7 linked regions of the Cricetulus griseus genome follow. The protein of the gene in region 7 interacts with the protein of the main gene of each other region in a biochemical or structural test. Links are inferred from orthologs where the notes say so. Each region holds a gene or a part of one and is shown on either strand. Other genes may lie near its edges. The genes, in order: Safb, Ccnd1, Arnt, Foxo1, Ncoa6, Prmt2 and Esr1.

Region 1 (3,442 bases), on a different chromosome or scaffold from region 7:
CCAGGCCACCTTTGGGCTCTGGGTCATCTCCAGGCACAGCTTCTGCCACAAGGAGCTCTGCAGCTTACGGACCCAAGCCCAATAGGTCACCCAGCTATTTGCACGTTCACAGAACACCCTGGAAACCCAGTGAACAGATGAAGGGCATGATGGCTGACTGGCTCAACACAACTATTTTGTCCTAGGTCCACTCCTGGGCTACAGAGGATGCCTGGCATCTGGGTTATTGCGTCACTCTGCTGAAGTTCAAAAGTTGGAGACATGTGCCTTACCAAAACCAGGGGCTACCTCTGCCTGTACCCCAGGCTGAGTGTCAACGGCCTCTAGAGCTAGGCGCACGTCTCCCACCCCTCTGGTGCCCCTGCCAACAACAGCCAGCCAGCTTTGTTTGCTGCAGAGTTCTGTCTGCAGTAAGGCCAGCTCTGCATGTCCATCATGGTCACCAACATGGTGGTCACAAGCCGGAGCTCACAACATGGGTCCAAGTGGGCCGACTATCTTCCCATATGCAGGACTGAATCAGCCAAGGCCCGAGCCACAGACTAGGACAGGCTAGCACCATGGACAACGCCTCTGGCTGCTTGTGGACTACCACTTCTCAAGGTTGAAGGCTTGAAGTAAAGGGCACATGAACAGAAACACGTTTATTACAAAAAACAGCAACAAAAACCAAAATGAAAACAAATTCACATTTAACAAGCTACAATATGGCAGCAGATTTAAAAAAAAATCCTTTGTACAATGGTGGGAGAAGTCCTGACAGGACACAGAGGTCACACAGCTGGGTGGCACAGGTGCTCAGTAGCGGCGGGTGAAGCGGGCATCACTGGGCCTGCTGCCCCGGCTCTGTCCTCCAAAGCCTCCCTGCATCCCTCCACGTGGAATCACATGGCCACGTGAGGCTCCACCAGGGGCGAAACTGCCACGCCTAAAGAGATAAGGAGAGGCCCTAGCCAGTGTTCCCCAAGCCACAGGTAGTCCCTAGTTCACCACTGCAGTATGTAACCCCACTTCCTCCTTGGCAGGGTAGCACTTACCCTGACATGCCACCTCGGTTCATCATGTGGCCAGGCCCTGAGTGGCCAGACATGCTCCTCTCACCACCTGCAGGATGAGGCAAAAGTCTAAATGGACAGCCTGGCAGACAAACAGCCCTGCTTGGTCTCACCTGGTCCTATCCTACCCCAGACCCCAATCCTTCCTTAACCAGTGGCCCTGGCTGCCGCCTGTTCTCACCTTGCCACCTCTTGTGCTCACGCTCCATCATGCCTCCGTCAGCTGCACCCTGCCATGCCCGGTCATCTTCAAGTCTCCGGCTGTGTTCCCCCCAGTCACGCCTGCCCCTTGGAAAGAGATACCTCTGACCTGCACTGCCACACCAGGCCCTTGGCAAACAGCATGGCTGGGGGGGTGGGGGGGGCAGGTGGGGCTCACACTCCACCAGGCCAGGCTAAAAGTCATCCCAAGACCAGGCCTTGGGAGGGTGGGACACAAACCTGGGAGGAGGGGGCAGCCCTCGGCCTTCACTCATTCTCTTGTTAGAGCTGTAGCCCCAGCCGTCTCGAGAGTCCCGGCCATGGCGTTCAGGCCCTCCATGGCGTTCAGGGTAATGCTGGACCAGAGAAAAAGGCTAAGTCAGCATCACCCAATCCCCAGACAAGAGGAAACAAAGCTCAGGAACCAGAGTATGTGGCCATTGTCATAGCATCCTTCTTCACAAAGGGTTAGGTTTACAAGGCTCCTAACAAGCGCTGCAGCCTATGTTTCACAACAGTGAGACACCCACATGAACCCAGGCTAGCTACCTGAGTAATGAGATGAGTGCCAGCCATTATCCTTGGCTCAAATACTGGCCTACCAAAAACCCTGTGTCAAGGCCAAGGCCTGACAGACACCAAGTGAAGCCAAATGCATCTAGCACCTTCCAACCCCCTCCAGTCTCTTGCCCAATCACAAACAGTCCTGACACACCGGAGTTCTGGGCCAGCTCTCACTGTCTAACTCTCAAGTCAGTCACCTGCCCTTCTTTGCAGAGTGACAACTGCATGTACAAATGAACATACACCCAGGCCACTGCTGGTCAGCTGTTCCCACAAAGGCAAGTAGCTGTGTGAAATGGTGACACCATGATGGCAGCCTGTGGTAGAGCTAAGCCACAGGGTGGCGGAATGAGTATCCAAGGGCTGCAGACAACCCTGGTATCAACTTGGTGACGGGAAACCAAAGGGTTAGGATGGTAAGCCAGACAGCAATGAGGGTGGCACCATGCAGCTAAAAGCAGCAGTGGTGCAGTGCGAGCAACACTCAGAGAGGCTCAGAGTGCACAGGTGGGATGTGGCCGGCACTATGGCTCCCGAGCAGCACTGACAGAATGGGACCACCCCTCCACAGCTGAAGCAGTGCCCCATGCTCACCTGTCCTTCTCTGTCTCCCATCATCGACCTCGAACCTTCTCTCCTAAAAAATGTGATTTCAGTGAGACCAGACGGTGAGGGGTGTGCCTGCACAGAGCCCTCCCAACATGGTCATGGGCCCATCCAGAGGCTTACCTGTCCACAGAGTGGTTGGGGTAACGGCCCCGGTCTCTGTGGTCAAAATCGTGGAAGCGGTCCTGGCGGCCAAAGTCTGAGTGGTAGCGGTCATCCAGTGCTGCCCGCTTGGCTTCTGGCCAGTAGGCATCATCACGCCTGTGATGGAGTGTGAGGCAGAGGCATGAGGCACCTAGAGTCTACACAGCTTCAAGTCCCTGGCAAGAGGTCTCCTTGTGGAAGGTGTATTAACCCTTGGAGCAAACGCCCCACCTTTAACTTAGTGCCACCGTGGGTGATGAGTGCCTTGGTCTTTGGAAGCCGTTGGTACTGGCAGCTTCACAGGACACTTGCCTGCCTAGAGCCTCACACACCAAAGGTCCCAGCAGGCTCCAAATTAGGTCAGTCAGTGTGAGACCCGCCCCCACCCCTGCCCCATGCACCTGGGCCTGGTGCTCTGGATCCCTGGCTGCTCACCGGCCATCCACATCGTAAGGCCTGCGCACTGCAGGCCGGCGCTCTTGCTCATAGCGCAGCTCCTGCTGCCGTCGTAGCTCCTCCCGCTCACGGTGGATACGTTCCTGCTCACGCCTCCGCTCCTGTTCCACATGCATGCGCTCGCGCTCCAGCCGCTCTCGCTCCATGCGCTCTCGCTCTAGCCGATGGCGGTGGAAAGCCAGGCGCTCACGGGCAATCTCTAGCCGCTCCCGCTCCTCCCGCTCCCACTGTGCCTGCAACCGCTGCTCCCGTTCACTGCGCTCCCGCTCCCTGTGTGAGGAGGGCAAGTTGAGGCAGAGTTAGGTCATGCTGGGGGCAGCAAGCTCAAAGACGATACTTCACAGTTAAAGGGGTCCCTGGTACTGCAGCTGCCACCTCCTGTGGTCCTCTCTCCTCCCACCCTTCTCCACAGCAGA
Region 2 (4,139 bases), on a different chromosome or scaffold from region 7:
AAGCAGGAGTGAGGTGTGCCTTTCAGCAAAGCGAGTACATCTCTACCTAAAACTCTCTTCTATTTCAACAAGTTTGCTCTATTTGCCTTTTTTTCCTTCTTTTTTAAAGCAATGTTTCTTAAGCCTTTTAAACACATAAAATCAAAATCCTTCTGTAGACTTCCTGTGTGTTAATCCTATTCTTACAACAGACAAGCACATTAATAAAAAACTAGTTGATTACTGGGGTATAAAATCCTATTTTGGTAGCATCCCCTCTGCCCTACACTCAGGGTGATGCAAATTCTATCTCTCTCTCTCTCTCTCTCTCTCTCTCTCTCTCTCTCTCTTTAAGACAGCTTTCAGGTATTTTTTCTCTTTTGCTTAAGTCACATAGAAAGGAGAAAGATTAAAGAAAAACAACCAACAAAGAGAACAAAACTTCCCCTTCTGGTAACAAAATGTCCCCAAGAGGGACATCATTAGGAGCACCCCGGGCTGGCTCCTTCCTCATCGCGGGTTGCCACTCCTTGGTGGCACCCGCCTGCCCGGTGGCTCTCAGATGTCCACATCTCGTACATCGGTGGGTGTGCAGGCCAGGTCAGTCTCTCCCTCTGCTTCTCCCTCTTCCTCGGTGGCCTTGGGGTTGATGTTCTGCTGGGCCTGGCGCAGGCTGGACTCCAGAAGGGCCTCAATCTGTTCCTGGCAGGCGCGGAGGCAGTCCTGGAGAGGCAGGCGGAGATGGAGGGGGTCCTTGTTTAGCCAGAGGCTAGTGGCCAGGGCCTTGACCTGCGAGGCAGGCTTTGCTAAGGGCAAGGCTCGAAGAAACTCCCCGAGTCATCCCCAAATCCAGTGAGCAGTGAGAGAGCCACAAGGGACTAGAAAGCAAGAAGAGTGTCACCTCTGCCCCCATGCCATGAGACAGGAATAGGGAGTTCCTGTGGCTGATGCCAGACAGGGCAGATCGTGTGTCACACATGGAAGTCCACTGGCTCTGACCTACACTGAACCCCCAGCTGAGTCCAAGCCAGAATTGGACTTTTGTCTGTCCTGTCTATGCCAGCCTGCAATGTCCTTGAGGACACCTTCACGACCAGAGCCCCAAGCAGCATCCGCCATACTGCTCAGTGTCATTACGCCCCTGCCCCCTTCCTTTAGGATCAATGGCTTCTGGAAGATCCCCAAACCTCAAGCCTGGGAAGAGGCTTGGTGGGGAGGGGGCGCTAGGTTTGATTCCCCTTTGCTGCAGAGGCCAGTGCTCCAACCCTCACAGCCCTGGCCTGGTCACACAGTGTCTTGACACTGTCCCCCCTCCCCCCGCCCCCGATGCAGTCTCCTTCAATGACTCACTTACCGGGTCACACTTGATTACTCTGGAAAGAAAGTGCGTTGTGCGGTAGCAGGACAGGTAGTTGTTGGGGCTGCCCAGGTTCAGGCCTTGCATTGCAGCCACCACGCTCCCGGCAGCCACCATGGAGGGCGGGTTGGAAATGAACTTCACGTCTGCAGTAGAGAGGAGCCACAGGCCTGTGGTTTAGCTCCCACCCAATTCTCAGTACAGCCTCACTCTGTCCTCCAAACCTCCCTATCCGTGCATCAACTCCAGCTCCTTTGGCAACAGCTAGGTGGCGCTAGATGTACATAGGGATACAGGCCTTCAACCCCAGCATGGAGGCCAGGGTGCAGACACTTTAAGGCAAGGTCTTGTCTCACTTTAAGAAGCTGAGCGGCTGATCCTGGCCTGTGTTCCACCCCCCCAGCATCTCAAGCAAATAACAAGGAAGAGTTGGTCATGTCCCCTTTGTTCCTTCAAAGTTTAAGAAGAGGACAAAGGACAGAATTCAAGAAGGTACAGGCCCTTAATTAACCCTTTAACCTGGAGGCAGGTGTGACGCTTTACATCTGCATCCCCAGTACTTGAGAGATGGAGGCAAGGGGATTGCTGTGTTCCAGAGCCACCAAGTCATAGAAGGATAACGGTAAGCTGCAAGGGTGATAGGAGCAGATCCCTCAGAGGCCAGGCTAGATGTCACAGAAGGGATGCTCCCCCCAGAGGACTGACTCCCAGGATCTTCCACAAAGCCATTTCCCTAGTTATAAAATGTTCTCCTGCATCTTTTCCAAGCTGCTTTCCTGGTTCACTGATGCCAGCTTAGGGAAGAAAGACATGGGACCCCAGAACTCCAATTCAGGGTCCCTTGTGAGGGAAGCCCCGCCCACGAGTCTTGGGGACTCTCACAGCACAGCCCCAACTGGAGAAAGCAAACCCCAGGGGGTGGCAGCTTTGTAGTCTGCCCCACTGTTAAATGTGTGGGGTCATGTCCCCCCACAGTACTGCAGCAGCAGGGGGTCACCCGACTTCCACCCAGTATCTGCAGTGAGTGGTGTGGCGGGCTGACGGAATGAAGGCCTGCCCACCAACCCCACTACCAAAGATGAGCCCACAAGCTGCTCTCCTGAAACAGTGACAAGGACAGCCACACACTTAAGCCCGTGGATCAGGGGTTCCGGGCTAGAGGAGGACACAATAAAGAACAGGTGTCAGCTTCCCCATCTTGGGTCACCCAGTGCCTGGGAACTGGGAGGCTTGAAGAAAACTAATGAGAATCACAAGTGGGAGAGGGCTATGGTGGTGAGGCAGCCCTTTGGAGACTACCCTGACAGAGCATAGAGCTTTGGTTCTGTTAAAGGTCGGGAGGCACCAGGAAGGGACCCGGAAGAAGAGCAGCCACGCAGAAGAGAGACAATACTTCCAGGTGGCACCAAGGACTCAGCTCAGTTCAGTGAACTGAGCTTGCTATGGAGACAAGTTCAAATCAGATGCCCCTTTTGCAAGGAGACAGAGAAACTCCAACCACCAGCTAGCACGTGGCCCCCTCTGGTGCTTGTCTGTCCCCTTCTCATGTGCAGTATAAGGAACCTTAACATCTGCTTACTCACACTGCCTGGCTGCTGCTGGCATAGTTGTCACCCAGTTCAGTGGCATGACTGACACTTACCAAACACCCTTCATTTAGCTCAATTTCCTTTTGTCCTAATCCACACAAGGGTACACTCTGGCCACCTGTGCATGCCTGTATGACCAGCCCCAACCCTAGGTTAGTGCACTGCTCACAAGGTCAGGACCCAGGTCTGGGGGTATCCAGAAGGGAGAAGAAAAGTCACACCCTCCTATCTCCTGTAACCTTGCCACATGGATGGCACATTTCCTGGCTGGCCTTGACCTCTGGCCTCTTTCCAGAGTGACCTCTATGTGACCTCTAAGGAGCTGGTTACTCCTTCAGGGGGACAAAGCCTCCAGGCCTAGAACATTGGTGTATGCAATTCAATAAGTTGTGCTCAATCTCCATTTGTCTTTTGGGGGCTCTTAGTGGACCCATCATAGAAAAAGGCCATACAGTAAGCTGGGTCCAGCCATACTCACAATGCATTAATACTTGTTGGCTTCCCTGCTGGCATTCAGGGGTCCTGGGAGGGGCCCTTTGCTGCCAGAACCATCCTGGGGAGGCTGTGCCACCCCATCCCTCATGTTATCTCTGGGAAACTCTGCAGCTTCTCTGAAGCCACTTTCAGCTCCATAAAAGGCTTCCTGGAGCCTCCAAGGGCTCTGCTCTCCCCAGAGGAACCCCAGCCAGACGCCTCCCTGCCTGCCAGCCAGCAGGGCCGCCCCCGCCCCTTACATCCTTCCAGGCTACTGATGGCCTTGGCACTCCCATCTGCCACCCCCTTGCTTGGTAGGCCTCTGGGGAGGGGCTGCCACCCTCAGCAGGTAGCTGGGAGGCTAGAATCCCAAAATCTTCACACCCACCACAGCTAAGCAGAAACACTATCCACAAGGGTGGACAACAGAAGGTGCCAGAGATGGCAGGTGGGAAAAGACATTACATGCCCCTCTTACACCATGTTGCCTTTTGGCTGCCCTACAAGCCACCTAGCCTGAGTTAAGAGATATAGCAACTAAGGCTTGATCAGGGCCACCTGGGGGGCGGGCAGGGGTCCTAAGCAGGTGAGAGAGAGAGTACAAGACCCCCTCAGCATCTCTAAGCTTCCTGGGCAGGGCTCCCAGTTAGATGGGGAAGCAGCTGTCAGATGTAGTACTAGGACCACCTAGAGGCAGCAGACTGTCTATGTATGTGTATTCTAGCATGTCCACCCACCCT
Region 3 (3,658 bases), on a different chromosome or scaffold from region 7:
CACAGAGGTACACATGCCTCTGCTTCCTTATTAAAGGCATGTGCCCCCACCACCCAGCCAATTTCATGTTTCTTAACTTTTTAAAACCAACCCAACTAACCTGGTCTTTTGGCGATCTGCTTCCAGCATCACCTATGGAAGAAAAGAACTTTAGTATATAGATGTAGGCAATGGAATTTTCAATGAAGCATTAAATAAATGAACTCAAATTTTAAGTAAGAAAACTTTATTGGTAAACGCAATTTAAAAGTCTGGGTGGTGGTGGTAAACATCTTTAATCCCAACAGAGGCAGGTAGATCTCTGTGAGTTTGAGGCCAGGCTGGTTTACGGGTGAGTTCCAGGACAGCCAATGATACACAGAGGGATACCGTCTCAACAAAACAAAACAATGGAAAAGAAACAAGTCTGGGGATGTGGCTCAATGGTAGAATGCTTGCATAGCAGGAGGCTAGTTTACACAGGGAGCTACATATCAGGAACACATAATCGAAACACCACACCGAACAAACAAGCCAAGGACTAGAGAGGGCTTAGTGGTTGGTTACAAGGTCTGCTTTTTTTTTTTTTTTTTTTAATTTTATTTATTATGTATACAACATTCTGCTTCCATGTATATCTGCACACCAGAAGAGGGCACCAGATCTCATAACAGATGGTTTTGAGCCACCATGTGGTTGCTGGGATTTGAACTCAGGACCTCTGGAAGAGCAGTCGGTGCTCTTCACCTCCGAGTCATCTCTCCAGCACCACAAGGTCTGCTTTTACAGGACCCAGGAATGGTTCCTAGTACCCATGTCAGCAGCTTACACTGGTCACAATACATCTCAGAGAATCTGGTGCCCTCTTCTGAGCTGAGTCCAGTTATACTCACATACACATTCCCAAACACAGACAGACATCACACCTCTAAAAAAAACAAATTTATTTAGTTATTTATTATGTATGCATGTATGCCTGCACTACAGAAGAGAGCCCCAGATCTCATTTTTGATGGTTGTGAGTCACCATGTGGTTGCTGAAATTGAACCTGAGTCCTCTGAAAGAACAGCCAGTGCTCTTTACCACTGAGCCATCGCTCCCAACACTTTTTTTTAACACATAGTTTTAAAAAAATAATAAAAATAAATTGCTTAAGAGCAAAGCAACTTTTAAACCCCCAAACCAACTAAATGAATAATATAGGAGAGATCACATTTTCTGGTAACATATGAGTCCCTCTAGGCTCCATTTCTAGGACTGGAGACAAGGAGTAGTGAAAGAGGAGATAAAAACAGTAAATGCCGTAGGGCATTGGTGGCGCAGGCCTTTAATCCCTGCACTCAGGAGGCAGAGGCAGGCAGATCTCTGTGAGTTCGAGGCCAGTCTGGTCTCCAGAGCAAGTGCCAGGATCGGCTCCAAAGCTACACAGAGAAACCCTGTCTCAACCCCCCCCCCAAAAAAAAAAAGAAAAAAAATAGTAAATTCCTTCCAATGCTTACCTCAGGCAACAAAAGGCTAGGGAGATGGCTCCGCAATTGGGAGAACCAGCTGCTTTTCCAGAAGACACAGCTTGAGTTCCAGTACCCACAAGGAAGCTCACAACCAGGCAAGACTCCAGTTTCAGGGGATCCTATGTCCTCGTCTGGCCTCTGTGGATACTGGGCACACACAGAGTAGACATGGTAGATATACATACCTGTAAGCAAGATATCCATACAAGGTAAAAAACAGACGCATGACACTTAAGAGAAAACCTGTAACAACTAAAAACAAACAAGCAAACAAGCAAGCACTGTTAGGGAATCCAAATAAATGCTGAATTTACCTACTAAGGTAAACCATAAGATACAGCATAAATCTGGTATGTTGGCCTATGTCAGTAATCACAGCTTTTAGAAACCAGAAGTATTCTACCGACCAGTGGTGGTTCCTGGGGAGGAAGAGACAGACGGATCTCTGTATGTCTGAGGCCAACCTGGTCTACACAACAAGATCCAGGACAGGCTCCAAAGTTACACAGAAACACTGTCTCAAAAAAAAGAAAAAAAAAAAAAGGGAGTTGTTAGCGCATGCCTTTGATCCCAGCACTAGGGAGGCAGAGGCCTGTGGATCTCTGTGAGTTCCAGATCAGCCTGGTCTACAAGGGCTAGTTCAAGGACAATCTCCAAAGCCACAGAGAAACCTGTCTCAAAAAGAAAAAAAAAAGCAAGAGTATTGCTACAAGTTTAAGACTAGTATTCACTATGTGGTAAGTTCCACACCACACAGATACAGTAAAATCATTATCTTAAAATAAAAATTCTAGAGAGATGGCTCAATGGATACAGTGTTTACATCACAAGACCTAAGTCCTGGAGTTTGGATCCTAAACCTGTAATCATAGGACTCACAAGGCAGAGACACACTGTAAGCTGGCTATCTATACATGCTAGAATTAGCAAGCTCCAGGTTCAATGAGAATCTGCCTCCATAATAAAGTGAAGGAAGAAAGCTGTAAACCTCTGAATTCTACATGCATACATACCTACATACATGCACGTACACACACATCCAAAACATGCATATGTACGCATACACTGTGACCATTAATGTCACATTGACAAAATTTGAAATTACTTGGGAAATGGAACTCTGTGAAAGCCAATGGAGAATTATTTTGATTGTGTAGAGGTGAAAGGACCTGCCCACTGTGGGTGGTTATCATTCCCTAGACTTCATAAAGAGAGAAAGAGAGCTAGCTGAGCAGGCAGCATGAGGCAGTCTGTCTCCAGACTTCACATACAATGGAACCAGATGCTCCAGGCTCTTGCCACTATGAATCCCTGTGAACCAGACTAAGTCCCTTTCCCTTTAACTGAGTTTTGGATGTTTGTTTTTGTTTTTGTTTTTGTTTTGTTTTTCAAGAAAGGGTTTCTCTGTAATGGGTAGGAGCCTGTCCTGGAACTCAGAGACCAGCCTGTCTCTGCCTCCCGAGTGCTGGGATTAAAGTTATGCACCAACACCTAGCTCCCATTTAACTGATTTTGTCAGAACATTTTATCATAGTAACTGAAAAAGAAATTTAGACATAGATAGGTAAATCACACACAAACATGGGGGGAGGGGGGAGACAGAAAATAAATATACCTCATCCATGAAATGGGAAAAGGAAGCAATCAGGATATAGCACTTACGGAACTTGCTTTTTTCTATAATAAATAAGCCCAGCAAGTGGGTATGAGGAATTGTTGACAATATGTTTCCTTATTTTCTACCTGCTCATCTTCTAATAATTCACCTTCCATTCTAAGAACTTTTTTTCTTTCTTTCTTTTTGTGGTCTTTTTGAGACAGGCTCTCCCTGCATAGCTCTGCTGTTCTGGAACTCAGACATCTGCCTGCCTCTGCCTCCTCCAGTGCTGGGACTACAAGCGCATGCCACCACACTTGGCCCATTCTAAGAATTTTTAACTAAAGCTTCATCATTTACCTGAATCAATACTGAGGACATCATCATCTTCATCAGGAATCTCAATTATTTCTGTAGGCTGGGAAGCTTCATCCTCGGAGCTACAGTGATGATACCGCAGTCCCAGCTTAGAGTAGAAATCCTTCACCAAAGACTCACAATTGATCACTGCCCTAATATTGGAACACATTAGAAAAGATCAAAGCCAGTGGGGAAAGCGTTAGAATTTAT
Region 4 (4,451 bases), on a different chromosome or scaffold from region 7:
GCTCACTGATTTACTCAAGTCTCCTAGTGGCTGCCAAGGAAGACCCCACCAGCCACAACTTATATCAAGGTGAAGAGACGACAACCAACCTCTATCCCTCCCCAGCACTTCTGGTTCAGGGTCTCTACCCATACCTCCTTTCAAATTAGAGGAAGCCATTGCAATAAAGGGATTATGAAGAAACGGGGGCCCGGAATAGAGAGATGTTTCAGGAAAAAACCCCTCTGCATAATTCTAACCTTTGTAAGAATATCATTTTCCTTAGATGCCCCCTTTTAAATAGAAGATTTCTGTGTAAGGAAGAAGAGTGAACAACAGCAACAGGAAATTAGGAACCATCTTTTTGAACACATTTAAAACCCTAATATTCATCTTCAATTCTAAGGCATCCTATTCATTAAAAGAAAATGCCATCCATATTTCTTTTTAAAAGAGAAAGCAAGTCAGAAAACCAAGCGAGGAAACATTTTCTTCTGCTCCGTAATACAAGAATCATTATCTTTCTACCTTCGACCTTGCTGAGCCTGTATTAGATAGCCAGATCTGGGAGCTCGCACTGGGAAAAGTGAGGTGTAGGTGGGAGCAGGCTGAAGGCACAGATGCAGGAAGCTTAAAGGACCCGTTGGGTGATTGAAGAAGGGGGTCTGTGCCTCAACACTTGGGTCTGATCATTTTGGATTTTACTCAAAACCTCATGGCTTCCATTTTAAATAAAAAGAAATAAGCAACTAGTTAAACTTAATTAGGGGTGATAAAGTGACAAGGTTGTCTCTAAACGCTCTCCTAACCCTTTGGCCACTACTATGGTTTTCAGGGGACAGTGAGATTCCCGTGGCAGGAAAGCGGTTCCCACAGAAGACTTCAGATCAGAGGCGCTACAGGATCTATGTGCTTGTGAAACACTAGTGTCTTCTCCCCAAGCCGCACCTCTTCTGGGTTCAGGATGACTGGAGGCTGGGGGATGGACAGAAACGCAGAGTCTCAGCTTGCAGGTGTGCAAGGGTAGGGTGGGAAGAGGGACCAGGAGCCACAGAGCCTTCGGTCTTCACAGTAGGATCTTTACGCCCGAGGCAGCCCGGACAGATGCCAGCTTACGAAAACATTCCTCCAAAACAAACCCCACCGACTTCCCCAGAGCTCCCCGAAGACGCGTGGGCGGAGCGGGCTTAGTGGAATCCACGAGGCGCCCCGCCGCCCACGTCGCGTCCGGGAGCGCGCAGTGGCCCCGCGCCACCCCTCGAGTCGTCGGGGTTTGGGCTCCGAGGAGTACTCGTTTGCACTCTGTAGTAAACAAAAGTATGGTCGCCGCCTCCACGCTGGTTTGCTTCCTAGCAATCCGGACTCTGAGAAGCGAGAGACTCAGAAACACTTGAGAATTACAGAAAATAATAACGGAGATTGAAAAAAAAAAAAAAAGTGTGTGAGAAAGAAAAACACCCCGCTAGCCCCCTCCCAACAACCTACTGCCGCCTCCCGAGGGAGAGCAGCTCCCGCCCAGGCTCGCGCTCATTGGCTAGCGAGGCGGAGACGTGGCGTGTCCATTGGTCGCGCTGGCTGTCAGTCAGGGGCGGGTCGGCGCGCGCGCCGCCGCGGGCGGGGAGCCTCTGCAGATCCCGTAAGTCGGGAGGCTGCGGAGTCGCTGCAGTCCCTGCCGCCGCCACATTCAACAGGCAGCAGCGCCGCTGTCGCGCGGCCGCGGGAGAGCGAGCGAGCGGCCCGCGCCGTCCCCCCCGTCTGCTCTTGCGTCCGCGGCCCTGTCAGCAGGAGCGTGGCGCTCGAGCTGCCGGGCTCCGCGGCCTGGTCCGTGTCCCGTCCAAGCCACGAACTCGGAGGATCCTGGACCCTGGTGGCCCGCGAAGTTAAGTTCTGGGCGCGTCCGTCCGCTGCGCCGCGCCTCGCTCCGGCGTGCGTCCGCTCACCGCGGCCCCCAGTCTCGGAGCAAGTCTCTGCTCGCCCGCTCCGCGACCCCGGTGGCCGCGACTCCCAGTACTCTATACTGGTGGGGGAGGGGCGGGGGTCACCATGGCCGAAGCGCCCCAGGTGGTGGAGACCGACCCGGACTTCGAGCCGCTGCCTCGGCAGCGCTCTTGCACCTGGCCGCTGCCCAGGCCAGAGTTTAACCAGTCCAACTCGACCACCTCGAGCCCGGCGCCGTCGGGCGGCGCGGCCACCAACCCCGACGCCACCGCGAACCTGGCCTCGGCGTCCGCTGTCAGCACCGACTTTATGAGCAACCTGAGCCTGCTGGAGGAGAGTGAGGACTTCGCGCGGGCACCCGGTTGCGTGGCTGTGGCGGCCGCCGCTGCGGCCAGCAGGGGCCTGTGCGGGGACTTCCAGGGCCCCGAGGCGGGCTGTGTGCACCCGGCACCGCCGCAGCAACCCCCGCCGACCGGGCCGCTGTCGCAGCCCCCGCCCGTGCCCCCCGCCGCGGCGGGACCGCTCGCGGGACAGCCGCGCAAGAGCAGTTCGTCGCGCCGCAACGCATGGGGCAACCTGTCGTATGCCGACCTCATCACCAAGGCCATCGAGAGCTCGGCTGAGAAGAGGCTCACCCTGTCGCAGATCTACGAGTGGATGGTGAAGAGCGTGCCCTACTTCAAGGATAAGGGCGACAGCAACAGCTCGGCCGGCTGGAAGGTGAATGGCCTCGGGGGACGTGGTGGGGGCGGGCTGGAGGGTCGAAAGTGTGGGTTTGCGGGTCCCGGAAATGGCAGAGCGTGCGGAGTGAGCGGGGCGAGCGGGTGAGACTTGGCAGGTGTGGCGGAGGCTTCTCTGAGACCTGGAGCTTTGGACCAGGTGCACGCGAGGGAGTTCTAATTGGGACCCGGAAAGGGTTTGTTTGGGCACTAAGTGCAACGCCAGAGCAGGCGTGAAAGTTAGCCAGTTGTCGGAGCGAGGGGATCACTTTGGAGGGCTCTCTACTTGACACCCCGGACCTGTGAGGCTTTGGGCGGCTGCTCTCCGCCTACTCGCGCACCGACTCTCCCAGCCTTTGGTGGCCAAGGTTTCCCAGGACCCGCCAACTGAGGCCTGAGGTGGAGCCCTGGCGACATCCCCCTAAACGCACACGCACCCTTGGGGCTCCGGCTGCGGGTGGGATGGCTAAAGACGCACAGCAGCTGGCTGAGCTAGGTGCGGGCCCGCAGCTGCTGAAGGTTCCCGAGGCCGGAGCAGGTGGTCGAGCGCGCCCACTCACTGTGTAGGGTGTCCGAAGCGTGCGAGTGGGCGGCCACGGCTTTTAGGCGCTGGGCAACCTAAAGTTCAAGTGTGACCCTTGGCCGGGGCGGGAGCCGGCGGGGAGGGAGGGACCGCGTGTACAGGAAGCTGGGGCCTTTAAAGGGCCAGTGCCTCCAGCCTGGGAGGCCACACTTTAATACCCAGGGAAGTGCTTCCACGGTTGGTCTTGCTTGGGGAGGGGTGCTTTTAATTGGAAGCCCAGAAGGTGCTACGCGTGACCAGATTATGCACAGGTGTTTGCGAGTGCTTTCTTTAAGCAGAAAGCATGGAGTTACTCACGAGGGGCAAGGCTGGAAGCCTTAGTCGGAGTATTTGGTGCCAGTCTTAAGTGGGGTACTTGCTTAGGGAATTGCCAGAGACCTTCTCCTTTGAAGGAGGATTGCAGATTTGTAGATGTAGGTGCTCATGGACTTTGTTTACCTTTCTGAAGATGGCTGGGAGAGCGAGGTGACTCCAGAGTTGGACTGCGCGACATCCCTACCCTGTGTGTGTGTGGGGGGGTAGTAAGAACCTGGGGTCTTTTGGAGGAGAGAATTGGAATATTACACAGGGGTCACTCCCTGGTGGTCACCCCGGCTGACAGTTTCTTAGCATCACAGGTGAACACAGATCTTAAGATTTTCCAGTTTAACGCAACTTTTTTTTTTTTTTTTTTTTTTTTTTTTTAGCTTTTCTCCCTCCTGGTCTTGTCTGTACAGTGTAGCAGTGATGAGTCTTTGCTTTGTGATTGTTAGAGCGAGGTGGTTTCACATATTCCATCTTCCCTGTGGTTAAAGTAGCTAAAAGGTCAGGTTACTCACATCATAGGAAAGTTCTTGGAGAAAGAGCCGGGCTTGTTTTGTTTTTGCCAGTGTGTTTTAAAGATATATACTATACCTGACATGCAATATTATCAAATGTTCCAAAAAGTAAAATACCCATTTCTCATATTCTAATTCACAAAAATAGAGGTTGTCTTTACTTAACTGACTTTGAGTACTTGCCTGCTTTACTCATCTATGGAATCTCAGCAGTTACATAAAGCTTCTGTCATTAAAAATAAAACAACAAGAAACCCTAAAACCCTTTAGGCACCCAAGTACAGTGTGTACTTACATCGTTCTTTAATGTTCTTGGAGAGGGATAGATACAACCTACTTCAGTTTGTTTAAGTGCCTTACTTTAAAGATAAAGGTAGTGTTTTGGGATATTTCTAGTTTTGCCTTTCAGATAGC
Region 5 (4,424 bases), on a different chromosome or scaffold from region 7:
GTTAGTGAGAGACCCTGTCTCAAAAAATAAAATGGTTGAGACTGTAAAATGGCTCAGCAGGTAAAGGCACTCTATCTGTCAATCCTGATGACCTGAGTTCTGGCATACCCACATAAGTGGAAAAAGAGAAGTGATCCCCACAAGTTGTCCTCAGATTCCACACACATGGCCCCACACACAAATAACTACAGAAAATAAAATGTCAAGGTAAAAAAATAATAAGGTAGAGAAACAATCAAGGAAGACACCAAAGTCAACCTCTGGTCTCCCCATGCATATGCACAAACTCGATAAGTACTACTCCTCCACCTCCTCCACACACACACACACACACACACACACACACACACACACACTCTGCAAGGGGGGAATAGTTCAGTATTGCAGGCTTACCTAGATTGAGCAAGACCCTGAGTTCAATCCCTACCACCACATTCACAAATAGGTGTACAGATACTTCAGCATAAACAATTTTTATACTTAGTAACTATTTGAATGTAACTAGTTTCCTTTGTAATCAATGTCATTTACTTTATACAATTAAAAATATTATTTTGAGAGATCCATGCTACAGGGACCATGGCACACATAAGATCAGATCTCTGCATTAGAAAGACTCAGAAAAATTGGTACTGAATATACATGTGGTTTTGAAAATCCTTATAAAATTCTTTTGATTAAACTCCATCCCTTTTGTGCTGGGAATAAAACCAAGGCCCTTATGTTGTATGCTAGGCAAACACTCTACCATTTAACTACAATGCCAACACCTGAAAGTCTATTTTTTTTCCTCTGGAGGCAGGGCCTTTACTCTATAGCCCAGACTCTCCTGCCTCAGTCTCCTATGTGTTGAGATATAGATGTGAACCACCGTGCCTGGCTTCTAAGTTTGTTTTGTTTTTTAATTATGTGGAGTTTTGTATTGTCTGTCATTCCTTGGTATATCCATGGGCAATGGATTCTAGGACCTCCTAGGATATCAAAATCATTATATAAAGTGATACAATATTTGTGTATCCTGTCTACCTGTAATAGCCAATAAAATGTAAATGTCATGTAAACAGTTGTTAAGCTGTCTAGTTTAGGGAATAATAATAACAAGAAAAAATAACAGTGACAAGGAAAAAACCCTGTATGTTTAGCACAGTTTCAATTTTTTGTTTTATGAATGTTTCTAATCGGTGATTGGTTGAAGCTGTAGATGCAAAACTCAGGGACATTAAAAGTCAACTATATATCACTGGCTGATTTATCTCATAGTCCATTTGAACTCTCAATTGCCTATTTATAACAGAAATTCAATTAAAGTGAATATGATGGGGACCCTAGGTCTCTATCATTATCCTTTTTTCCCCTTTTAAGCTTTTTGTGTTCTTTTGCTGTGCAATAAACATCCAGACGAGGGGGAACATTTTTTTAAACTCTAGAAAGAGGTTCTTTCTTGATGCTTTTTTTTTTGTATCAATGGAGATCTAGGAAATATCCAATAATTGATTATACATTTTTGTATCCCACTCAGGCTTTGTACTGACAAACTTGTTAAAACAAAAATTAATGACTCTGATAATTTAATGGAGTTTGACTTAGCAACTGAATGAGGAAGCCTTAGTCCATATCCAGGAGCCTCTGTCACCGACACAAACTATCTTAGGAAATCAATTACCTTGGCTAAAATCACTACTTGATTTGAAACCATGGCATGATCTCTGTAAAGCCACCGTAGTTATTACATGTCCTTTCCTTCTTCACGATTCTGACTAGTTTCAACAAGACCTTTCAGACGACCTCCCCAGGTGACCCTGCTCTTTAAGCAGCGGCTGTCCCCTTCCAGGAAACACACTTTGGGTCACCGCCCCCAAACAGCCGGGTCCCTCCTTTTAAAGACAACTCCTTAAGTTGATGGAGGTTCTCTCCTTTCCTACCAGTTCCACTCTGTACCTTTTGCTGTCCAGCTCCTACATCCAGCCCCTGCCTGGCACCCTTTCTTTCCTCATCAAGCTCTTCCCTTTTCCTGTTGCTGCCTCCAACGGGACTGGAGGCTCCTCAGGGCTCACAGGTCCCGAGACCCTTGGGAGTCATAAAGACTGGCCATTCAGTGCCAGGACCCTTCCAGGCTGATTCCCGCGTCGGTGACCCACTCTGATCCCCGAGTTCGCAACCCCCATTCCTAAGCAATCTCCTCCAGCGCACGCAAAGAACAACTCCAGCCCTGACAGCCAGGACTCGGCCCCCAAGCTGCCTCCCCTACCCCTGGCTGCTGCTCTGGGGCTCGGTTCACAGCGCACGGCCTAACCCAACTCCACCGCCCGGCACCCCCTCGGCCCGCCGCCCCCTCGGCCCCGCCCCCAACCCCGGTCCCGTCCGCTCCCGGGGTCTTTTTCTCCGCGCCCCCAGCCCGGACCTCACGCCCGCGGTATAGCCGGCTCCTGGGCCGCAGCGCCGCCCGCGCAACCCCGGCCGCCTGCACTCCGCGGGCCCCGACCCGCACTCCCCACCGCCGCCGCCGCTCCCGCCGCGCCCGCCGCAGGCCCCGGGCCCGCTCCCCAACATGGCGACGGGGACACGAGCGCGGCGGCGGGTGGGGCGGCTGCGGGCCCGGGCCGCACTCGGGCCGAGCTGCACGGCCGCCCGGCGCCATCTTCGCGCGCCAGGCCCGGGCGGGCCTCCTCCCCACGAAGCCTGCCGGGCCGGGCCCGGGACGCTCAGCAGGCCCACCCCTTACGGGCCAGCGTCGCCGTCGCCTCACCTGAGCGCGGCCCCGGCCCCGGGCGGGCCTCGCAGCGCCGGCCCGGGCCGTGCGTGCCCGGCGCCCTCGGCGCGTCCGTCCGCCGGTCCTCGCGTGCGCCCGTCCGTCCGGCCGTCGGCGCCCGGCCGCCGCAGCCCGACCCGGCAGGCCTCAGGGAGCCGGTGGGGAGGGGGGATGGGCCGGACCGGGCCGGGGAGGGAGGGAGGAAGGAGAGAGGGAGGGAGCGCGGCGGGGCGGGGCGGGCCCGAGGGGCGGGGCCCTGCCCACGTGACCGGGCGTCCCCTGGCGCGCAAGGTGGAGCGCGCGAGCTCGATTGCTAGCGAGCATGTGAGCCGAGGTGCTGGGTGCGATCTTGGTCTGCGTGCATGTTCAGCGCTGTCCCAGCGGCTGGCTGTGTGTGCTGCGTAACGCTCCACGCCTCAGTGTGCTCTCCCCAGCTATGGGGATGATAGTATTTCCTTGCGCAGAGGAAATGAGGGAAAGGCTTGGAAAGCGTCTAATGACTGACGATAAAGATAACCTTTATTCTATCTCCCCCCCCCCCACTTCGTCCCACCACCCTAACAAACACGGTAGGTGCTCACAAAATAGAACTGGTGAGTGAACAGGTGGAGGCGGGCCTCTGGCTTCCTCTCTTCCCAAAGCAGGGAAGTGTTCTTAGCACTGGGCTGAGCCCAGAGTCACTTAAATCAGTTCCCACCCCTTAGCTTCATGATTTTCTTTACCTCTGTGTCTCAGCTTCTTCCTCTGTAAGGACGGTTGGGGCAGGTGGATTCTTAACGGCTCAGTTATAGTGTCTCATCTAAGAGAGGACTCTGAAACGCTTTCTTTCCACGGGTATTTATTGAGTGCACACTGTGCACATAGACTGGTATGGGTACCACCCTTACCAGCACCGCCAGCGTGCGCCACTATTTTTCTTGCTAGTAATATTCCTCCGTCAGAATTCTGAGCGTGCCACTCTCTTACTAAAAATGATTCGACAGAATCTAGGGGTGTGTGTGTGTGTGTGTGTGTGTGTGTGTGTGTGTGTGATAAAAGCTGCAGAGTGAGAACTATTTGAGGGCAGAAGGGATGGGAGAGGTAATGCGAAGTAACTATAAGCGTGATACGCATGTATGAAAATCTCATGATGAAACCTATTAATAATTATTTTAAAGATCTATTTATTTTTATGTGAGTGTTTTTGCCTGTGTGTGTGTGTGTGTGTGTGTATGTAGCACATATGTACATATGTTCTCCACACGTGTATATATGTGCACCACACACTTGTGCCTGAGGCCTGTGGAGGTCAGAAGAGGTGTTGGGTCCCTTGGAATTGGAGTTACAGAGAGTTGTGAGCTGTCATCTGGGTTCTGGGAATCCCTGGGTCCTCTGGAAGAGTGGCCAGTGCTCTTAACTACTGAGTCACCTCTCCAGTCCCTAAAATCATTTTTTTTAATTAAAAAAACCCAGGCAGGCAAGATTGGTTAATAGATAAATGCACTTGTTTATCAAGGCTGACAAGCTGAGTTCCCTCAGAAGCTCACACGACAGGAGGAAAGAAATGACTCCCACAAGTTGTCTTCTGGCCCCTTAGCATGTATATGCCTACACACATGTGTACAGGCATACACACACATTAAATTTTTAAAGATATTTTACTTGGTATATGAGTGTTTTGCCAGCATGTGTGTGT
Region 6 (4,252 bases), on a different chromosome or scaffold from region 7:
AGCTGCCCCATATGTGATGTACCTGCAGAAGACCAGGTAGACGTTTTATGAGCTCTCCTAACTAAGCTCCAGAAACCATGCTGAGTTTAGTTGGTTAGCCACCAGGCCACCTTTAGTGGCAACTCTTACGTTAATGATTTTTCATGGTAAACATGGTGGAAAAACCAAACCTTTTCAGATTCACCTCCTTGGCAAAGGCTGTGATCTCACCGAAGTTTAGGCTCAATCTTACCCACTCCACCCTAGAATCAGCCAGAACTTGGCCTCCTTTAGGGGCTTCCCGTTCACACCACGAGGTTCTAACTGAAAACTTCTTAAACTGTGGTACACAGCTCTGTTCTGTAACTTAATGTTGGAGTCACAAAAACCGGGCAACGGTAAAAGGCTTCCAAACTAACAATGGCCAAAATAATTCAAACTCAAAAGTGTAACGACTCCAAAGTGTCTCTCTCAGCCATCACCCATGGTGCGTTGCGGAGCTCCACCTCAGCTTTGGTTTTGAACGCACAACAGGTACAGTTTACTCTCCATTTGCCATGCAGATCACTGAAGGCTGCCCGAGGTGCCTCATAGCGGGTTTGAAGCCATTATGTTAAGAGCTGCAGTGTTTTTTGTTTTCTTTCACCATAATGGCTTAATTTCGGAAAACAAAGAATTTTAATATTTTCCCATCATCCCTCGGCACTATCACATCAAAGTATCTGGATTACAGTGGACAAACACATCCAACTAATTAGTGTGCAAATCTGCTTTTGTCTCTAATAAATGGCAAAATCAAGTGTTTTAAAATAAATTCTTTTCTGATTTATTACCAGTGAATGTTCCTTTCCTATGCCTACTTTAGACACCTAGTGTCACACGGAAATTTCTTGCATAGAAAGGGGTTGCCAGTGAAAAGGACCCTGCTCTGTCAACCGGTACCAGTGGCCCTCTGAGTACAGGATCTTCAGGACCTGGGGGGTTCTGATGTGTCTTGTGCCTCACTTGGGAGCTGTGCTGGTACCACCTCAGGCCTCAGGCTAAAGTTGGTTCAGATGCTGTGCGAGGCCCCATTCTGCAGACGCTGATCCGGACGCAAACCAGGTTATTGGACAGGCAGAGGGCTCCAAACACACCAGCAGCCCCAAGAGTGCTCGGGACGGCGCTGCCGGGCACTTCTGCGGCGGCGGCCTGCACGCAGTTGGAATCCGCTGGGGGCACGGTCTACACCACCTGTGGCCTCCCACCCCAAGTCCAGCCTTCCTTCGCACCGTTCCTCCCGGTGAGCCGTTGCTTGCACGGCTCCCCGCTGCGGGCTTGAAGCCGGACGCGGACTAGACGCAGGGACACAAAGTGCGCCTGCGCCGAGCGGCCGGCACTCAGACAGGACTCTGACCTGCAGCACACCGGGTTCAGACGGACCGCGCCTGCGCGGGACACCGAGGCCTGGGCGAGCCCGAGCGTTCCGCGCTTGCGCAGGTCTGGGGCGGCGGCTGAGGCTTCGGATGGGCGTCATCCCTTCCTCCTCGGTGTCGCCAGCCTGGCGTTCGGCGGAGAAACGCGGCCGAGGTAGGTTTCTTAATGGGCGGCTTTGGCAGCTGGGCCGCAGGTGAGGCCGCACATGCTAGGCAGAAGGTGTGTGTCTCCGCCCCTCCCGAAGGTTCTAGTCCCGCCTCACCCTTTCTCAGCAGCGCCCGCCCTCTCCCCGCTCCTTTCGCGGCGCCCCTCACTCACTTCCCCAGCCCCTCGCCGCTGGCTCCCGGAGCCACGCCCTCCAATGACCACGCCCACCTGCCTAAATGCCTCTCGAGCCACGCCCCCCTCTTTAAGCCTCTTGCCTCACCCCCCACTTGGCCTGGCCGACCCTCCCAAAGAATTCATTGTCCTCCTCCTCCCGGGCACCAGCCTTATCCTGTTCCCAAGCTTTTCACCGAAGATGTAATAAGTATTTGTAATTCTAATTATTACGAAGTATGAAGTCCAGACCTAGAAGCACAGCAGCAGGCATTTCAACAAAGAATTGCTTTAATTGAAGTTAATCCCAGAGCCAGTAAAATTGCACTGCCCCTGAAGAAAGAGAATTAAAGAGTAGGAGGGTGTCCCCGGGCATGCAGACTCCAATTCTGCCACTGGAACGAACAGGTCAAGCACTAGGCAAGGGGTTTAAATTCTAGTTTAAGCTGTTAGGAGTTCCTAAGAACAAAATGATAGTGATTTATTGTAAGTAAAAACAGGCTCGCAGGGAATAAAATTAATACTTAGCAGACTAAGGAAGGAAGCACACAGTATTTGAAGTTTTTGCTGTTTAAAACCCTCTAAAACAGCGGTTCTCAGTCTGGGGGTTGAAGATCAGATATTTACATCATGATTCATAGCAGTAGCAAAATTACAGTTGTGAGCAGACACGAAATAATTTTATGGTTGGGGGTTACCACAACATGAGGAACTGTATTAAAGGGTTGAAGCGTTAGGAAGGTTGAGAAGCACTGATCTCAAGAATTGTGGTGGTAAAGTCCATTTCTGTGCCATTCTTTCACATGCAGTGAACCGTAGAGCTGAAGTGAATTTAATTTTCAAGTATAACAAGCACTTTGTGTTTCTTTCTCTCTTTTTTTCCAAGTAGAAATGAAAGGGAAAATGAAATAACAAAGAAGCAGTTATGAGGCAGAATCTTACTGAACTATGGAGACACCAGGTGACTGTCCCGGAAATGAGTCACAGGTCATCCCAGTGCTGGTACGTAAGAGCCATGTGTAACGAAAAACAAGTCACAGGTGTGAGGCAGTTTTCCTTGTCTCTCAAGGTAGTCAACAGGAGGATGCTTGAATTTAAACAACACTGGGTGGGGGGTGGTGGATATGAGCCTAATTCATAGGTGCCATGCTGCGTGGTGTTACAAATCCTTCAGGGAACTCTTTAGAATGCTTCAGACACCACAGTCCTCCAGTGTAAACTTGTGTTTAGTCGGTGTTAGGCATAGGGCCTGGAAAATGCTTGGTACTCCAGAAGTTCCGTGTTTTGCATGCTGTTTTCTGCCTTGGGTGCATATCAGTTTGATTCCTGTTACCAGAGAAAAGGTCCCCTTCACTTTTAAGGAATATTGATAATGTACAATTAACAAAATGAGTATTCAAATAAAAACACTTTTAAAAATCAAAGATTTTCATGTCTGTGGTGTGAGCTTCAGCATTTTCTTCTATCCTAATGATTTTCCATTGCTTGGGTTTTAATTTATTTAATTACTTATTGAGACACAGGATACACAGGTCTTACTGTGTATCCCTGGTTGGTCTTAACTCACGGGGTTATGTCATTCTGTGGCTCCTGAATGCTGCAATTAAAAGTGCCTCCATGCCCAGCTGCTGGGTATGTATGTATTGGGTATTTTTATGTGTAGGAATTTTATTTATAGTTGGCTTAATTTGTTAATCATTTTCCATGTTCAGCGTCAAAATGTTTTAATTCTATGAATGCCCAGTTTTTCTTTTGGTAAATGTAAATATTGACAATTACAAGATAATGTTGTAGACATTGAGCATATGTTGTGCAGAGATGAAAACGTTTCGTTGTAGCTGCCTCAGGGCACACACACAAATAAAATTAACACTCTAGTCTGTTTTCAAACCCAGACCCATTCCTTCCTCGTCTGGAGGCAGACAACCACTTCAGGCAGGCTTCTGCACCTTAGGTACCTTTATGAACGTATAAGGGTCCTCAAGCCAGCCAGAAATAAGCACCGAGGAACTGTGTCAATCAAACAAAACGAAGGATCCCTGAACAAAGTCCGAGTTGCTCTGTGTTTTTTCTGAGGCTTGTGTAGGTGGTATTGCTGTTTCTGCAGCTATGTGACATCACTTTGGCCCTGCCACTGCTGGGCCTCCTGGGCACGTGCTCTGTCTGTATATCCCAGTTTTGTGTTGGTCTGCTGTGGTCCCATGGCTATGCAGTGGGTTTACATCTCCCTGTCTCCCTTTTGTTGGGTACTCAGATGTAGTCACACCCTGCCTCCCCATGGTGCTGCAGTGAGTACCTGTTGCCATATCTGGTGCTCCAGATTAGATTCCCAGCGATAGCACTGTGGAGCTTTGAGGGTGGAGGACCACATACTTTGAGTTTCCAGGCAACGTCACAAGTACACAGATCTTCAGTATAGCCCCTGATGGTGTCATAGACGATACTTTAATTGTGGTCAGTTGGATGGGTTAGAAATGATTTCTTCTTATTGACTTTTAGTTGACTTCTAAGTGACTCGGGAGTCTTAGTGGGGGTGTGG
Region 7 (4,385 bases):
CAGTTTTGCTGCTGTGATCTGAGAAGATCTAAAAAGAGATTATTAGAATGTCACTTAAGAGACAAAGTCACCATCAGCATCACCATCTTTAGCCAAAGCTACCTGTAAAGTGTTTTCCTTTAAAAAGAGCATGGATGGGGGTGTGGCTAAGTAAAGTATTCCCTGTGCAAGCCTGGAGACCTGAGTTCAATTCCAGAACCCATGTAAATATGGAAGGAAAGAAGTGACTCTACAAAGATGTTCTCTGACCTTCACATGTTCACTATGAAACAGCATGCCCCCTGCCACACACACCCCCAAACACACACAAACACACAAACACAATGAAGTACTTTGTTAGTCCCTGTACTGGAAGTCTCATAGGTAGTGTCTCTTTCTCAGTAAATAGCCAGTCTGCCCAGGCAGAGGTAAATGGACAGGACCACACCTCTTGTGTGTTTTACCAAAGATATAGTCTCCAAGCTGGACACTCTATTGTCTGTTTTTCTTTACAGCCTCCCTGTACCCATGGAACAAACTGAAGTTCAACCACAGCCTTAGCTCAAGCTGTCATTCTGGCCAACTGGACCAAAAATACAGAGACAGACTCGGACGGGGTAAAGATAACTACCCATATAGGAAGCCTCAGCAAGTACCTCATGTAATGTCTATAGGGATTGGGGGTTTACATTTGGAGGAAGACAGACAGATGCCAGATGGTTCTGAGTCCTAAACTGAAAGAAAGCTCTAGATCATTGAAAGAGAAGGCAGTTGTCTGGCTTTGTTGTTGCAGCAAATTTATCCTTTGGGGCTTTATTTTCTTCCTTTGCTGTCATGAGCAACAAAGGTGAATAATTACCTCCAAGTGTCAAAGCAACACATTCTGCTTGTACATACAATCCTGATAATCGCATTCAATATTTTGCTTTTTTTTTTTCTGTATGCCCTGTCTCTGATACCTATGTCAGTTTTATTTCTAACTTCTGTGACAGAAATCTGACAATCAGTGCAAGATTGGATCCAACCGCTACAGTCTTATATCTATCTTTGCAGGGCCAAGGATGGGCCTTCTTGGAATATTAACAAGACAAGGGCAAAACGTTTCTCTTTTATTGGTTTAGGGAAACAGAAAAGAATTTTAATGAATAGAAATAGGTTCTGCCCCTAAGATCACAGAGGTCTCTCTCCTACTGACTTTAAAAAAAAAAAGTTCAAATATTTTCAGTTGGTACTCCAATGTCCACTATCTCAGCATATATTGTTTCGGGTTCAAAACTAAATATATTTCCCAGCAGCCTTGTGGGAGGAGGTACTCTATAAATCAATTAGATTTGGCGAAAGAAGCTAATTTTAAAACATTTGGCACCCGTGAGTGGTACTTCATGCCACAATCAAACATCTTAATAAAGCCCAACCCTTATATTAGGTAAATTTTTAAAAATGAATTTTAACCATCTAGGATTTTCTGGGCAAGTCAGAGAGAACAAACACTGGCCACTTCTTGATCAAGCACAAGACTTTCCACTACAGGAAACGGGTGGTTTTCCTGTGGCCAAAATGAAAGTATCCTTTTCTGTCTTTTGTAACTACCGCGTCACCAACGAGTGGCACTGTGTGCCACTGTGTGGCACTATCCTTAACACACACACCACCCTGCCTCAAAAAAAAAAAAAAAAGGAAAACACATGAAAACAAAAAAAATAAGTCACCCATGGCTACTTTCAGGTTGGAGAGAACCAAAGCCACGGGGTTCAGAACTCGCCTACAATCGTGGGGCAACTTCAAGACAAGATGAATTACTAGATGGCATAGCTTTTCAGAAAACCCCACTACCTTGGGGGAAACAAATGATGGCTTATTCCAGTTGCTTAAATCACGCTCCCATAAGTCACAAGTCACAGCACCAAAGATTAAGAAACAGGGTCGTGTTGAGGCAAGTACAAAGTGAATCTAAGCAGGAACTTTTTAAACTCGCGCATGTTTCAACCTTACAGATCCCCGTAGCTAAACCTGGGACCAATAAATAGACGTGATCTGGGGCAGGCAGGCAGCCTGTCAGTGCTGTACTAAGAAAAGATAACTGTGTCGCCCTCTGACTCAGCTGAGCATGGCTCCCAGAGTGAATTTCCATGGGACCAAGGTCAGGTTTAACATGTTAACTTGATAACGTCTGCCAGAAACTTCATAAAATATCGCTGGAGCAATGAAAGAAAGAGAATGGACAGATTTTCACAGGAGAGGTGAGCTCTGAGACTCCAGCCTGCTTGCACATACTAGCACAATATAGCCAAGGGGGGGGGACTATAAAGAAATGGAGAAGACATAGAAGTACCTGCTTGAGAAGAATCACCCAGAGACTGCCTTCTTGTGCTAGGGAATGGCAGAGGAGGGGGCATTGGCCTCTCCTGGCGTCACAGGGCTGCTGAGCATGGAGCCTTGTGTTTTCAGTTTTGGTAGAATCCGTTCCGAGGCTGTTATGACCATGAAATTAGGAAATGCAGAGTCTCAGAAGCAAGGAATTAGCACCACCACTTGACTGGGATTGGAAACTCTGCTCCGGATAATAGGGGAGGGGGTGGCCTTCCTCTCTCCAGCCAGGCCCGATTCCAACTTTCTCAACATTTGCCTACAGATAGATGTTTGCAGAGGGACAAGCCTCCGGTGAAACTAGCTAGCTGAGACTTTTTTTTTTTTTTTAAGGTGATCCAGCCCATTTTGTCTCTACTTGCAATAAAGCTCAAAGTCTAGACGGGCATGCTGACTTGGAAAAAATAAAATAAGAAAGCATTCTCCGGGGTGCATAAATTTTCTCACCCAAAATTAGCTAAGAGGCTGGCGTGAGGGTGTTCCTTCGGTGAGTGCTTCCGAAACTTTCTCTTTCACTCACTGACTCAAGGAGCAGCTCAGCAAGTCTTGTCACTGATTAATTGGGTTCCTGATTTTGGAAACCTGCACTGACAAGGAAGCCCTTAAGATACATGAGTCTTCATAAACTGCTTGGTATTTCCTGCAGCGATTTACAAGTTTATGGGGTTGGGTGTATTTTGTTTGCTTTAGGGCTTTAATCTTGTTTGTTTTGTTCTGTTTTATTAAGACAAGGTCTCTGTAGTCCAGACTGACCTTAAACTCCCAGCAATCCTCCTGCCTCAGCCTTCTAAGCACTAAAATTACAGGTGTAAGCCAAGACTGGCTTTTTTCCTTTTTTTAACGACTGGCTTTTTAAACACTTATTATTTTGTTGGTTTGTCTTTTTCTTTCCTTTAAACTCAAAGACAAACAGGCTGAAGTAAAAATATGAGATTAAAAAATATTTTGAATTTATTTTCTCTCTCAGTGCTAGAGGTAGAACCCAAAACTTTGATGTGCTAAGCAAACACATTACCGCTGGCCCACAACCCAAAGATCCCCTCATTTTTAAAAATGATTGAAATTTTAACAGCTTATAAAATCTGCTATGTTTTATGTAACATGTGCTTTCAATGATGGGTTGTTGTTGTTTTAATGTGTTTGCTTTTTTTCTATGCGATAAGACTTAAAAAGGATATTCTTCCAGAAATAAGAATGGTGACAGGCAAAAGACCAGAAGGGACCTCTCTGGCCACTGCCTCAATCCCTCTAAATGCACACTGGTGCATGCTGGGTAAGGGAAGACTGTCAGAATTGGCTTAGAGGAGACATGAAGCCAAACATCTCATAACTAATGAATTAAACATTTTTAGAATAAACTATCTTCACTGTCTTCAGTTTTCTATACACTGGTGAGTTTAGCCCTAAAATAACCCAAAATGCATAAATGTGTCTGAATTTAACTCCCCCAGACTACTTGGGATAGAATGCCTTTTAGTTGTTATATAGAATGCTTTATTTCAATTTAACAAACATTAAGCTTAATAAGACTCATTTATACAAGGAATAATTACATACCCTAAGCATGGCAAGGACAGTCTTTGATTTATTATTTTTATTACGATTTCTGGTGAAAGGTAAATGATTCAATAAAAGGTTCTGAATAGTTCAAACGTTTTAAAAGCCAAGTGTTTTCTGCCCCAAATTAATTGAATCCCTCCATTTTATTTGATTTGCCAGGATGGATGAATCATGCTTTCAAATAGCATTTAGCTACCTGTTAGAATCCGTTGTGTACATCAATACAGAGAAGAAAATTACCTAGGGCAGGAATTCTCAAAATAGAACATCCACTGGATTCAGAACCAAGTGTAAGATTATTTCCTTTTCATGGAGGGGATGCATATGAGTGTGAAAGTACACAGAAATATGTGGGCACATGCCTGTGCCCCTGCATCCAGAGGCCAAAGCAAGACACTGGTGTCTTCTCCTAATGCTCTCCACCTCATTTCCTTGAGACAGGTCTCTCACTGAACCAACTGGAAGGTGGCTAGGCTAGT

Evidence for each region.
Region 1: the proteins of Esr1 (region 7) and Safb form a complex in vitro, tested with the Homo sapiens proteins (2 studies listed by BioGRID). The link is inferred for Cricetulus griseus from reciprocal best matches to the Homo sapiens genes ESR1 and SAFB.
Region 2: the proteins of Esr1 (region 7) and Ccnd1 form a complex in vitro, tested with the Homo sapiens proteins (2 studies listed by BioGRID). The link is inferred for Cricetulus griseus from reciprocal best matches to the Homo sapiens genes ESR1 and CCND1.
Region 3: the proteins of Esr1 (region 7) and Arnt form a complex in vitro, tested with the Homo sapiens proteins (2 studies listed by BioGRID). The link is inferred for Cricetulus griseus from reciprocal best matches to the Homo sapiens genes ESR1 and ARNT.
Region 4: the proteins of Esr1 (region 7) and Foxo1 form a complex in vitro, tested with the Homo sapiens proteins (2 studies listed by BioGRID). The link is inferred for Cricetulus griseus from reciprocal best matches to the Homo sapiens genes ESR1 and FOXO1.
Region 5: the proteins of Esr1 (region 7) and Ncoa6 form a complex in vitro, tested with the Homo sapiens proteins (4 studies listed by BioGRID). The link is inferred for Cricetulus griseus from reciprocal best matches to the Homo sapiens genes ESR1 and NCOA6.
Region 6: the proteins of Esr1 (region 7) and Prmt2 form a complex in vitro, tested with the Homo sapiens proteins (2 studies listed by BioGRID and IntAct). The link is inferred for Cricetulus griseus from reciprocal best matches to the Homo sapiens genes ESR1 and PRMT2.

What each region holds. Positions count from the first base shown.
Region 1 is NC_048598.1:96,940,655-96,944,096, forward strand, and holds the end of Safb (scaffold attachment factor B1), read right to left. Parts: intron 3,297-3,442; coding exon 3,006-3,296; intron 2,688-3,005; coding exon 2,550-2,687; intron 2,458-2,549; coding exon 2,415-2,457; intron 1,613-2,414; coding exon 1,497-1,612; intron 1,344-1,496; coding exon 1,237-1,343; intron 1,105-1,236; coding exon 1,038-1,104; intron 929-1,037; coding exon 799-928; 3' UTR 619-798; downstream 1-618. UniProt on the Homo sapiens protein: Binds to scaffold/matrix attachment region (S/MAR) DNA and forms a molecular assembly point to allow the formation of a 'transcriptosomal' complex (consisting of SR proteins and RNA polymerase II) coupling transcription and RNA processing.
Region 2 is NC_048596.1:56,404,557-56,408,695, reverse strand, and holds the end of Ccnd1 (G1/S-specific cyclin-D1), read right to left. Parts: intron 1,483-4,139; coding exon 1,334-1,482; intron 703-1,333; coding exon 538-702; downstream 1-537. UniProt on the Homo sapiens protein: Regulatory component of the cyclin D1-CDK4 (DC) complex that phosphorylates and inhibits members of the retinoblastoma (RB) protein family including RB1 and regulates the cell-cycle during G(1)/S transition.
Region 3 is NW_023276806.1:61,081,609-61,085,266, forward strand, and holds part of Arnt (aryl hydrocarbon receptor nuclear translocator), read right to left. Parts: intron 3,601-3,658; coding exon 3,449-3,600; intron 1,639-3,448; exon of another isoform or gene 1,480-1,638; intron 133-1,479; coding exon 101-132; intron 1-100. UniProt on the Homo sapiens protein: Required for activity of the AHR. Upon ligand binding, AHR translocates into the nucleus, where it heterodimerizes with ARNT and induces transcription by binding to xenobiotic response elements (XRE).
Region 4 is NW_023276806.1:99,188,580-99,193,030, reverse strand, and holds the start of Foxo1 (forkhead box protein O1), read left to right. Parts: upstream 1-1,605; 5' UTR 1,606-2,022; coding exon 2,023-2,637; intron 2,638-4,451. UniProt on the Homo sapiens protein: Transcription factor that is the main target of insulin signaling and regulates metabolic homeostasis in response to oxidative stress.
Region 5 is NC_048599.1:24,163,989-24,168,412, reverse strand, and holds the start of Ncoa6 (nuclear receptor coactivator 6), read right to left. Parts: upstream 2,933-4,424; 5' UTR 2,747-2,932; intron 1-2,746. UniProt on the Homo sapiens protein: Nuclear receptor coactivator that directly binds nuclear receptors and stimulates the transcriptional activities in a hormone-dependent fashion. Coactivates expression in an agonist- and AF2-dependent manner.
Region 6 is NW_023276806.1:262,479,728-262,483,979, forward strand, and holds the start of Prmt2 (protein arginine N-methyltransferase 2), read left to right. Parts: upstream 1-1,409; 5' UTR 1,410-1,548; intron 1,549-1,896; exon of another isoform or gene 1,897-1,917; intron 1,918-2,602; 5' UTR 2,603-2,661; coding exon 2,662-2,715; intron 2,716-4,252. UniProt on the Homo sapiens protein: Arginine methyltransferase that methylates the guanidino nitrogens of arginyl residues in proteins such as STAT3, FBL, histone H4. Acts as a coactivator (with NCOA2) of the androgen receptor (AR)-mediated transactivation.
Region 7 is NC_048595.1:282,289,966-282,294,350, reverse strand, and holds the start of Esr1 (estrogen receptor), read right to left. Parts: upstream 2,838-4,385; 5' UTR 2,376-2,837; coding exon 2,312-2,375; intron 1-2,311.